Bombyx mori: one gene and its partners. The protein of the gene in region 3 purifies or fractionates together with the protein of the main gene of each other region. This does not show direct contact. Links are inferred from orthologs where the notes say so. Each region holds a gene or a part of one and is shown on either strand. Other genes may lie near its edges.

Evidence for each region.
Region 1: the proteins of soluble NSF attachment protein 29 (region 3) and alpha-soluble NSF attachment protein purify together in Drosophila melanogaster (affinity purification with mass spectrometry; 3 studies listed by BioGRID, with this or other methods). This does not show direct contact. The link is inferred for Bombyx mori from reciprocal best matches to the Drosophila melanogaster genes Snap29 and alphaSnap.
Region 2: the proteins of soluble NSF attachment protein 29 (region 3) and syntaxin-17 purify together in Drosophila melanogaster (affinity purification with western blotting; 4 studies listed by BioGRID, with this or other methods). This does not show direct contact. The link is inferred for Bombyx mori from reciprocal best matches to the Drosophila melanogaster genes Snap29 and Syx17.

What each region holds. Positions count from the first base shown.
Region 1 is NC_085113.1:1,629,103-1,633,035, reverse strand, and holds the start of alpha-soluble NSF attachment protein, read right to left. Parts: upstream 2,801-3,933; 5' UTR 2,659-2,800; coding exon 2,567-2,658; intron 803-2,566; coding exon 606-802; intron 1-605. UniProt on the Drosophila melanogaster protein: Required for vesicular transport between the endoplasmic reticulum and the Golgi apparatus. Also between the endosome and phagosome.
Region 2 is NC_085130.1:9,423,853-9,427,895, reverse strand, and holds the end of syntaxin-17, read left to right. Parts: exon of another isoform or gene 1-641; intron 642-1,247; coding exon 1,248-1,402; intron 1,403-2,105; coding exon 2,106-2,228; intron 2,229-2,984; coding exon 2,985-3,064; intron 3,065-3,141; coding exon 3,142-3,322; 3' UTR 3,323-3,468; downstream 3,469-4,043.
Region 3 is NC_085122.1:5,757,477-5,761,429, forward strand, and holds soluble NSF attachment protein 29, read right to left. Parts: upstream 2,387-3,953; coding exon 1,589-2,386; 3' UTR 535-1,588; downstream 1-534. Other genes in the region: gastrula zinc finger protein XlCGF57.1, read left to right, coding at 1-494; eIF3c (eukaryotic translation initiation factor 3 subunit C), read left to right, coding at 3,017-3,109.

The DNA of each region.
Region 1 (3,933 bases), on a different chromosome or scaffold from region 3:
TAATGAACATGACGAAATATGGAAAAAAAACACATGCCATTTATTTTATCTTCCAGCCACAGACCAATGCAGACAAAAAAAATTTTATTTAGTTCGCTATTAAAACTAGGGTTTGGAATGGGTTCTGACAAAACTATTTAAACAAATGAATTATGATATTCTTCAGGAGGTAATCATTAGCACTGTGCCACTCACTAATTAACGTGGGAGGAACAAAGTTAATTGGGAAATCCAATCACTCTCAGAAGGTCCAAACGATAAATTGTGTAAGCACACATGATCATGGAAACTTTAAATAGCAAACATAACATTTGCTGATAATTATTGAAAGTTAAGTATGCTGGATACACCATCAGGTAAAAGATGGCTAAGAAACATCTTTAAGCAAATTGCGTTACGTTTTCCACATGTGTTTAAAATATTTACACAGATGAGAATTGATAAAATTTATAGTAAATATCTTCATTGCCAAGCTGATCTTTGCTATACAACCTTGTTGACAATTCTGACCTGTTTAGTTATTAAAAGAATCAAACAATTATATAGATCCTAATAAATTAAAGTATGACATGAACTACATAATAGAAATTGTATAATGAACTTACCGTTAGCATCACATTTCTTGTAACAGTTAGAAGCATCTACAAAATTGGTGGCAGCATCATGGCGAACACCAGCTTTCAAGTGGAGCTGTGCTGCATTACAGAAAGCCTGCCCTGCTTGAGGCCACTTCTTGGCCATCTTGAATAAGTTAGCTGCTCTGAGATAACAGTCTACGGCCTCTTCGATTTTTGAGGAGCCTCTGATGAACAGATTATACAATAGAGCTGTTGTTTTTTTTTATTGCTTAAATTGGTGTACGAGCTCATAGCCCACCTGGTGTTAAGTAGTTACTGGAGCCCATAGACATCTACGATGTAAATGCGCCACCCACCTTGAGATATCAGTTCTAAGGTCTCAAGTATAGTTACAGCGGCTGCCTCGCCCTTCAAATCGAAACACATTACTGCTTCACGGCAGAAATAGGCAGGATGGTGGTACCTACTCGCGCCGACTCACAAGAGGTCCTACCACCAGTACTTACGCAAATTATAATTTTGCGGGATTCATTTTTATTACACAATGTTTCTACCACCAGTACTACTAACTATACTTTATTTATTATGAGTATTTACACTTTTGGTTCAGTTTCGTTACGTACTATGTATGTTATACTCATAGTAAAAACCTGTCCAATTGAAATTATATATATTGTATCCCATTAAATATTCAAATTTAATTACAAAAAAAAAATCACATAACCCCGTAAACTTGGCCTTATCTAATCACTTAATGCCAAGTAAACTAGTACATCTTGTGGGGTACACCCCATCTCTAACTGTGGGTGATGTAAATGGCCACTAAGGGATTCCCTGGAGATAAGACAGTAGCAGAGTATTACACAAACAGTTCATAATTATAATTGACTAATAATATGGTATACCACAAGCCAACAAGGCTGAGTGCTACACAATCCTGCTGCATTGCATTTTGAAGGGTGAAGGAATGTTATTATACACAATTGAGGCTTAAACCTGTCTAAAGATTGTTGTAGCGTTCAAGTTCTGATGTCTATCTGGCTCCAGTAACCACCACTTTACAACAAGTAATGTGAACTTGTTCACCTATATAAAGAATAAAAAACTACTAAATATTATTTGATAAAAGTATTGAAAGCATAATTTTTTAAAAGAAAGAAAGAGAAAAAAGAGAAATTATTGATTAGAGCATCTTGCATAATAATAGTTAAACTGGCTATCTGTGACCCCAGCCTACTATGACTATTATTTGAGCATTATCTGCCTTTAGAAGCTTCTTGTATATTTTACCTAATACAGACTTAAATCACAATTCTCTTGATAGATAGATGAGCAGTTATTTCATTTTACTGCAATATAACCATGACAATTTTCAAAAATATCAGCTAGAAACTAATTATGTTAAGCGATCTAGTATGTTCATTCTAATCTGATAACTTAATAATTGCAAAAATGCACCATAACAACAAATTGGAGTGAAAAATTAGTATAAATTTTTTTAAAACACATCTTGTACAATTAGAATTTTTATTTAAGCATAAACCTTATTTCAGTTACGTTTTTAATTAGCTTTTAATATAAATTGCTCCACATATGTACACAAACCACAGTGAGTCAATCATTAATTAATCATGCCATAGAACTGAAAAAATAAATATTTGCAGTCTTGATTTTTCTTTACTTTTAAAGTTTAATTGCGTGCTGATAATTTACTAATAATTTACTTGTGAATGCGGCACACATTCACAAGTAAATTAGCACATAAGATTTTGAATTTAACATAAAATATCCAATATAATTTAAGACAATTAGGTGCAAGGTGCATTAATCTTTACTAAAACTGAAGGATTTCTTCTAAAGTACTAAAAAAATAATAATGATAGAACAGGAAAAAAATAGCGTAATTCTGGAATTTTTTTTGGAGATTAATTATCTAGAATCGGAAATTGGAAGAACTTGAAAAATATTACATTGTTCATTGTTCTCACCCGAAAAGTGACCCCAGGAACGATTTTGATGAACTTAATTTTTTCTCCGCCTCGGCCATTAGCTGCATCGCTTTTTGTTCGTTGTCCGCCATTCTGCTGACTAGTTAAACACTAAACACTAGGAATACGAACTAATATCGTCAAGGGTTTAGTATTTTATTGACAAAATGTCGTCATCAACGTTCACTGTTCTGAAGAAATCTTTCGCTGTCATCGATTAATTCGGTGCTGCCAGAATAAAAAAGTGCTGTCGTTTATTATTTAAAAAAAAACACTCTTGTCGTTGTTGGCAGTACAATATAAAAATAAATATGTATATCCATTTAAAATAATATTAATTTGTATCAAAAATACTCTTAAAATATTTAAAATGTACATAATTATAATTTTCAAGAAAAAGATTGTAGCTATCTATACATATAAAAAATCAATAATAGTGTGGCGTTTAAGTACGCACCTTTTTATGATGCGTAAGCCGGAACGCACGAGATGTGGAAAACAGAATATAGTCTGTGACACGAGACCTTTTTACCGCCAAATATTTAAAACATAAAAATAATTTATAATGTGTTAAATAACTAATATAATATAATTAGCTAGAATTGTTTATGCCGCTATATCAATAAAATTTATATTGTTTCAACTGTGGTGTTAATTACATAAAACACGACTTTACGACGAAAGAAAGATGGGACTCTGTATGAACTCCCTCAATAGTAACTTTTGTCCATATTGAACGCCACGAACTTGCTTCATCATAAAAGAGAGTAATCATCATATCACAATTAAATATGTACATGCTGTAGGTACCAAAGAGCAAACTATAAACATGCACGTATTGAAAAACCAACTAGGTACCTAATACTTTTTTCGCATAATCCGTAGTTTCATTCAAAAAATGTAGCATTTAAGGCATTGTCTTTGCAGTTCCAAATAGTAAAACCCAAAAGTAGGCTGTAGTAGTTGTGGTAAAGTAAATACCTACAACCTTCTGAGAGTATTGGACTTCGATGTTTCTACGGAGGTTCGTTCGGTTCTCTCTGTGCTTTGTGCTGTATATTCCATTAAGAGTACTTTGATAAATTGTTTGAGATAATTTCGACAGATTTTTGACATTTACTGTCCGCCATCAGGACCAAGATTTTCCAAACTACCACCTAGAACCATTGGGTTCATCACAGTTACCAGAAATCTTTTTGTAACGTATCATCGTTGGATGGAATGAATTGCTCTCCATGGCGTTTTCTGAGCACTATTACATGTACTTCTTTAAACGTGCTAACGAGAATTCTCAGTGGCTTAGTTGTGCTCCTGGTCTTTCTGAGTCTCATGTTGAGCGATAAATCACCAACATCGGATGGGCTGTA
Region 2 (4,043 bases), on a different chromosome or scaffold from region 3:
ACAATCCCGCCCCATCTGTTCCCTGGTTGTCGTAAACGGCAGCTGAGAGATACACCGGACAGTGGGCAGCATGCCGCGCCATGCCGCGCCACCCCACGCTACCGGGCGGTACAAGTGACACTTGCTACTGACTGCACTGCTCATCTCCATTAGCGACGGTAACCACTCATCCTCGAGTGGGCTGTATGCTTTTCTGGCCGTCAAAAACTAGTCAAAAGTAAAATTTGTACATCAATATAGTTGAAAAGTGTGCAAAAGATTTGCAGTCTGAAAGAACGCTATATTACGCAATAATCTATAAAGATAAAATGAAATCCAAAAAATAACCATTCCTTAATTCTTTCTTAATAACTATGGTAACTATAAGTAGGTATCGGAACCTTTCAATTTCCAGAGCGTATTTTTAACTTTATTTAGAGACTTATTAAGGACCGATAACAATACAATACTTTTATTGCTTAAGTCGAATACGCTGACTAGTCCAGAGAATGCTTTCGACAAAGATAATGCATACATGGCAGGCAGCGGCTTGGCTCTGCTCCTGGCATTGCTGACGTCCATGAGCGACGGTGACCACTTACCATCAGGTGGGCCGTATGCTCGTCTGCCTCCAAAGGCAATAAAAAAAAAAAAAGATAAGACGAGTCTAGAACATATTCGAACTATCTAGTTCTATCAAGAATGTTCTGGAAAATTGTAGACATAGCCGACACGACTATAAAAGGCGTGGAATACGTGACATAAAGGCCGGCTCGGTGAATCTAGTGTAACCCCTCGAGGTAACTGCAATAGGTTGGAGCATTCAATATAAGCAACGAACGGGTCACTTGAAGCGAAGCGAAAGAAATTAATTATGATATTGAGGTCTACTTTAATTGTCGTAATAACTAAACAGATTTTTCATTAATATTTCGGTGAAGAGTTTCATTTTGTTCTCATGTATGGTGTTTTAGTTTTAGCTATACAGGACTATATTATTATAGTGTGTGTGGTGGGAGCCTGCACTACTCGGCACCATGTACACATGCACATACATATGTATGCCCGCGTCTGGCTTGTTTCTGCAATGGAGTTATCAGGCCAGCCAATGGAAAGATTACCCTAAGATAACTCGTAAGTCACGTCCCTAGGGGCACGGTGCGGCTGCCGCCCGATGGCTTCGGCAATCTCCTCACTTGGTGGATCATCAGCTCCGCTAATTGACGCCTATAAAAATGTAACCGTAATGTTTGGTAACGTGGGTTCAGATACGTCTCCGTTGTCGGCGAACCGGCGCCCGGTGGAGGCGGTGGAGGTGGCGGCGGGCAGCACCGTGTCCTCGGAGTCGGTGGGCGTGCTGTCCCACCACGACGAGGTGCGCGAGCTGGAGCTCTCCTCCATACAGTTGCAGGTCAACGACCAGGTCAGTCCACGTTCATCGTTACGGTTGCAGTTACGATTGTCTCGTGCCCACTCGAGCCGAGTGTTGCTATGTATTGAGGATTGTGACGCGGTCACGTAAGCACCATGATGCAGAGCCGTTTTCTCAAGACACTCAGTGTAATATACACTCCCGGACACATCTATCGGCCCACCTAGTGTTTTAAGTTTTGACGGTCTCTAGCTAAAAATAAATGTTAGGTGGAGCAATAAGTTTTTATGTAGTTTTGAAGCTGATTTATTGTTCAACTTGCTTAGCTATGTTTTTTTTTAAATTTCGAATTCTTAATTATGAAAAAAAAAAGTGATAGCGTATAAGATGGTAAAAGTCAACTAAGCGCCTTGGTGAAGGGCAAGAGTAGTAGTCTGGATTTGGATTATTTTTTGGGTTAGTCTGGATTCTGGAGGGTGTATTTTTTTTTTCCTAACTAAGCTGATAGCCTTGAGAGGCTATGTCAGCGTCGCCTTAACTAGTAGGTGAGCTCACGGGGCTCAAACCTGATGACGTTGCTAACACTGGCCCTAGGAAGAGCCGTGCTTTGCAGAATCTACCACCGGATCGGAAACGCGACCCACTGAGAAGATCCGGCGAGAAACTCAGTGGGCTGTGTTTGAGGGTTAATTTACTTACGATGACCGGGGAGCGTGTCCGGGAGTGTAGTGTGTGAGTGCGCGTGGTTGTGCAGGAGAGCTCGTTGCGGGAGCGCGAGGCGGCGCTGCGCGGCTGGTGCGAGCTGCAGGGCGAGGTGCGCGCGCTGCACGAGGCCTGGCAGCACGTGCAGGCCGCCGCGCTGCACCACCGACACCAGGTGAGGGGGGGGGGGTCACACCCGCTATACTATTCACTGCTGGTAGGACCTCTTGTGAGTCCGCGCGGTTAGATACCACCACCCTGCCTATTTCTGCCGTGAAGCAGTAATGCGTTTCGGTTTGAAGGGTGGGGCAGCCGTTGTAACTATACTTGAGACCTTAGAACTGATATCTCAAGGTGGGTGGCGTATTTACGTTTTAGATGTCTATGGGCTCCAGTAACCACTTAACACCAGGTGGGCCGTAAGAACGTCCACCATACTAAGAAAAAAAAACCACGCACTCGGGGACACAAAGGCAGTTTTCCAATTACAGCACAAGAGCGCATTATGCGGCATAATGCTCAACGTTGAATGTTTCAACTACAGCAACGCTTCGCACGATCGAGCACTCTCAAAAGTACTGCTCTCGCGTGATACTCGCAATCGATGCCGACTCAGTGACAGAAAATTGACAAGTGTTTTTTCTTTAAGTTGGCATTGATCGAAATTTTGTTTATATTATCGTTAGTAATATTATTTAATGTTGAAAAAAATTGTAAGGCTTCCGTTTCGTCGTAGTTTCATAGAAATAATCAATGTTAATTAAAACTGTGCTAACTTAGCGCACTCTGCTGATGCATTTGAAAACTAATTCACGTTCCAATTAAGCTTCAGCATAATTCAGCATTGTGCGTCACTGAGTCGCATTATGCTCCGTAATTGGAAAACTACCAGTGTTAGGTAATGTAAGGGTCCCCGGCGCCCCCATTGCAGGTGTCGGCGGCGGCGGCGCACGTGGAGGCGGCGGCGGGTGAAGTGCGGGCCGCGCGTCAACACCTCTCCGCGGCCGAGAGGTACCCACACCTACCCATTGTGTCCCTCACATCCAACAAACAGTACTTGTAGATAACGATTGCTTATACTCAAACAGAATAAAGGCAGGCGCGTTGGGCGCCAGCGGAGCGATAGCGGGAGCCCTGGTGGGGGGACCGGTGGGGGTCGTGGTGGGGATCAAGGCGGGAGCCCTCGCTGCGCTGGCTGGTTCTGCGCTCGGATACCTGGGGGGGCGGGTGCTCGCCGCTCGACAAAAACAGCCCCAGAAACAAGAATGATTAGAGACGTAGACGCGGGTCGTTACCGCACGAACTCGACCGGTGCTAAAAGCTCTGTGAGGGTTTCGAGTGCTCATCGTCTATAGCCACTCATATACACACAAGTATACAAAAACACATATAATTAAAGGCATAAAATACAATAATATGTTATGATTCAGTTCGACAAACCATTTATTTAAATAGCCACCATTTTTACTAACCGAATAGTAGTAGTGGTGTGCGGCCCCTTCGACCAAGACTAGCGCTGGCTCAGAAACCTTCCCCGGGTGCTAGCGGACTTCATCACGATCGGAGGAATGGCCTGCAGAGGAGTGCGTCGGCCAAGAACAAACATACAAACATTGATAATGTTCCACAATGGGTATATCAAGCTGAAAGGTCGCAATAGTATCAACAATGTAAACCACGTTAAAAATGTATAAAAATTAAAAGTCGAATTAGTTCAAATTAGTTTCACAAAAGAAGTAGGTACTTTATTAATTATTTCAACTGCTCGTTGACAGCTCTGAATTACAACAAAACTACCGCTAGGCCATTTATTCCGTTTAATATTTCAGAGAGATATAGACAATTACAAATTAGTTCAACTTATTTCAAACAATGAAAACGACACAAATTTTAATTATATTAATATACCTGTTGACAGGTACATTGGCTCAAAAACTCAAAACCAATTTTACAACTTCTTACGGCTTATTACGCAACTTATTACGGCGAA
Region 3 (3,953 bases):
GTGTTACATGTGGAAAACGATTTACAGCAAAATCAACTCTAGTCATGCACATGAAAAGTCATACTGGAGTAAAACAGTTTGCTTGCCCTAGTTGCCCTAAAGCTTACACCAGAGCTATTTATTTACGGGAACATAGCATAGTTCATACTGGCCAACAGAGACCAAAACCATTTAAATGTTCCAATAAAGACTGTGAAAGAAGCTTTGCCACCAAACATTCATTGTTGGTGCATTTTGCACACACTCACACGACAGAGAGACAGCACAAATGCACAACTTGTTTCAAAGGTTTTGCAACAGCCTCAGGCTTAAAAATGCATATGGAATCTCATGCCACTGTGGAGCTCCATTGCAATATATGCGGGAAGAAACTGTCAAATAAAAGAGTTCTTCAAAAACATATAAAAACTCATAATGTTGATGCCAATGACATGATATTGGAAACTGTTGTTGATAATACTTTCTTCGAACAAGTATTTGATGCAAATATGTAAATTACTATCTAGAATTTAAAAAACTAAAGAAAATAAAGCATTTGTGATTTGAAATATATTTATTAATGGAAACAATATAAAATAAGTATATATAATAATAATGACTGTTTACACTTATCGCTAGGTTCTTGGATATAAATGAAATTATTGTTAATGGCAAACATTAACTCATTGATAACAATATTAGTATGTATGTACCTTACTTTATGATGCAAGAACATAATTCATGATGAGGTGTCTGGAACTTTCACCCATTTAAAATTTGGATTAGTTAATAGAACATAGGTACTTAAAGTAAGTACTCACCTTATATTGGTTGTTTTGCCCTAATATTGTTTTATTTGCACACAAGTCTTATTTATATATATTTAAGTGTACTTAAAACTTTATCTTAAAATAGTGAAACCTAGCTATTATACTGTAACTGTCTCTAATTGCATGAACAACAATTAGAAACAAATAGAAGAAATTTGTCATGATAAGTTGCTAGCCAAAAAGATAACACATTTATTTAAAGATTACAAGATAATTTTTTTTACTATATACTGTGCACAATAAAGTTATGAAGAATGAATGAAGGTTATGATGATCGAATATGATACAGAAAAGGTTTACCTAAATAATATGAATCATACACCATTTTATTAGATGTAACTAAGTGTACATGATCAGCTAACAATGGACAGTATCACACAAGAACCATTATTACATACTATGAAGCTTTATAAAAATGCCAGTCAGCTCAGCAGTGGTGACGAATGTATAGAGCATTAGTATGCAGTAAGAAGCCTTTCAGACAATTTACATTACTAGTAGGTTTATTATATATGGATTTTTCCTTTACTATGAAATCCCCTTTTTACACCATGTTGTTTATCAAATTGCTGCTGGTCATGTGATTCAAATAAAAAATAATCTTATCAAACTTTGCCATACATTAGTATTCCTTATCACACAAAATGATTACACTACTGAATTTTGCAAACCACTCACATTAAAAACATGCTAAATCTTTATAAACAGATACATTTAATAGATTAATAGACCCTTTTAGTTGTTGTTTAAAATAAATCTTTAATTTGCTATAATTATTGCTATTTCCCAAGTAGTTTATTCATTTGTTTATTTTGTTTACCAATCTTGATATCTGCAATCTCAACTTTGTCTTGAATAGTATCCACGAGGTTGTTTTGCTGTTCTATCTCTTCACCAAGTGCAACTCCTAGATGTTTGAGCCGGGATATAGCATGCACCATTTCATCCAAGTTCGAATCAAGTATATTATTTACTCTCTCGTTTTCTGTTTCAGGACTCTTAGCGCTTTCTTGAGACAAACCATGTAGGCGTGCTGAGGGATGACTCTCAAAGCGATCTTCAACGTTCCTAGACATATTATCTAGGGTTTCATCAAGCCTGCTACTACTTGTACCAGCATTACGTACATTCGAGGTCGCTGGACTTTTAGATGGTGTTTGATCACTTTTTCCGGAAATATAATTCTTCAGACCATAAAATACAGACTTTATACCATTTAAATGTTTTTGACTATAGTTTAAATTGGTGTTAATCTCATCAAGTCGCCTGTCTGTGTTCTGTAGCTGTTCACGTTGTCGGGAAAGCTCTTCGGCCGTTGCAATACCAATTTGTTCAGAATCACGAAGCAATCCGATACTTCTCGTTGATGAATCTATTGTCCGTTGTTCGATTTCTCTTTGTGTTTGGATCATAGCTTGGCGTTGACGTTCCAGTTCTGCAATATGACCTCCATAAGGCTTATTTGCTTGCTGTGTTTGAGGTATTCTTGACCGGAAGCGATCTACAAATTCGTTATCATCGACGTCGTCATTTTCGAATAGGTTGTTCGGATTTGTGAAATATTTATGCCCAGACATTGCTTAAAATGTAATTTACTACGTAGGTGTGTTCTCGTTACTTTATTGGTGATGTTCAAAAAGAATGCACTTGAAATTATGGGGGTGGTAAGCACAGATAATACACAATTATTATGGTAGGTATGTACCATAAATGTTTATTTTAGGTTTAATTTATCTGATACGACGAGCAAAGGGATGTAGCCAAATAAAACGATTTTTTTAAGTGTCTGTCTAATTGAACAAAAAAAGTCAATATGCCACGTTCCCTTTGCCTTTCCAATTGAACAATTGAAACAAAGTTTAGCTCTTTGATCAACTTTGATGCGTTTGACGTATGAAGTGAGTCGTGGGCAAGGTCTGTATTTGAGAGCTTTCTTTCTATTCGCTACAAATTTATTAAGTCTATCATCAGAGGATTGCTTGAAAACTGAATACCTACTCTGTTTTTAATATAAGACAGTAAGTATTGTAAAAATGTTAAACAGTTCTAATTTATAACCTCAACGCGAGGACAAGTCAACTATTTATTACTAATTTTGATGTTTATTTAAGATATTTAAGAAAATAAATTACCATTGGAGTCAAATAATGTTCATTTGGAATTAACGAAGTTTTCTTTTACAGAAGCATTAACTAACTCTTGTAAATATGAGTCGTTTCTTTGCAACTGGGACGGACTCGGAGTCAGAGAGCAGCAGCGAGGACGAGCCAGTAGTACGCGCCCCCGCGCCAGTTTACACGGTAAATTTAAAATAAATAATTGGGAATCAAGGAAACAAAATTTTCAATTTATAGTTTAAAAAAAGATAAATAGTTTTTTAAGTTACCAAGGGAGACTAACATTAATCTCATGTAGGATGACAAGATATATGAAACTTTTTTTCGGTAATCAGCAATGCAATTAGCAAAATTTTGTAACTCTTTTAGAAGTTTTGAAAAATGTGATCCTTTAAATTCTTTCCTAAATGTCCACTATCAGTAGCTAATAGAGGGGGTAGCGATCAATAATGTATTTCTGCTCTGCTCGCAATCTGCTATTGTGCCAGCTTACAGCTTTCTAACGACTTGTCCAAAAAATTGAATGGGCAAAGGGAACAGCCATATTTTGTAATGATTGTGAAATTATTTTAATTATAAATTTTATTTCTTGTATTCAGTCATCTTTGTAAAATATGGTATAATATTATTAAAACATTTTTAATTCATAATAAATAAGGTATGACATAGGATTCAACCCATGTTAAATTTAAAATATCTGAAAAAATCCCACAAGTTACATCTTGGCAGGACAAAGGGTTGCTCGTGCTACTCTTTCGTTCCTAAACTCTTAGTAGACTTGTTGGTCAACTGGCATACTGCTTGAAAGATAATTTGGAGTAATATAATAATATACATGGATAAATAATTTAATAGTAACAATAGTAAGCCACTAAAACTTCTATTTATTTCAATTATGAGTTTAATAAGTGCATCTAGTGATTGGCATATCAATTTGTTATTAATTTGTCTTGACTTGTATAACAAGATGCTTTGATTCCGGAATAGTACAGTGATGTGAATTAGATATGTGTTGTTCAATCAATTT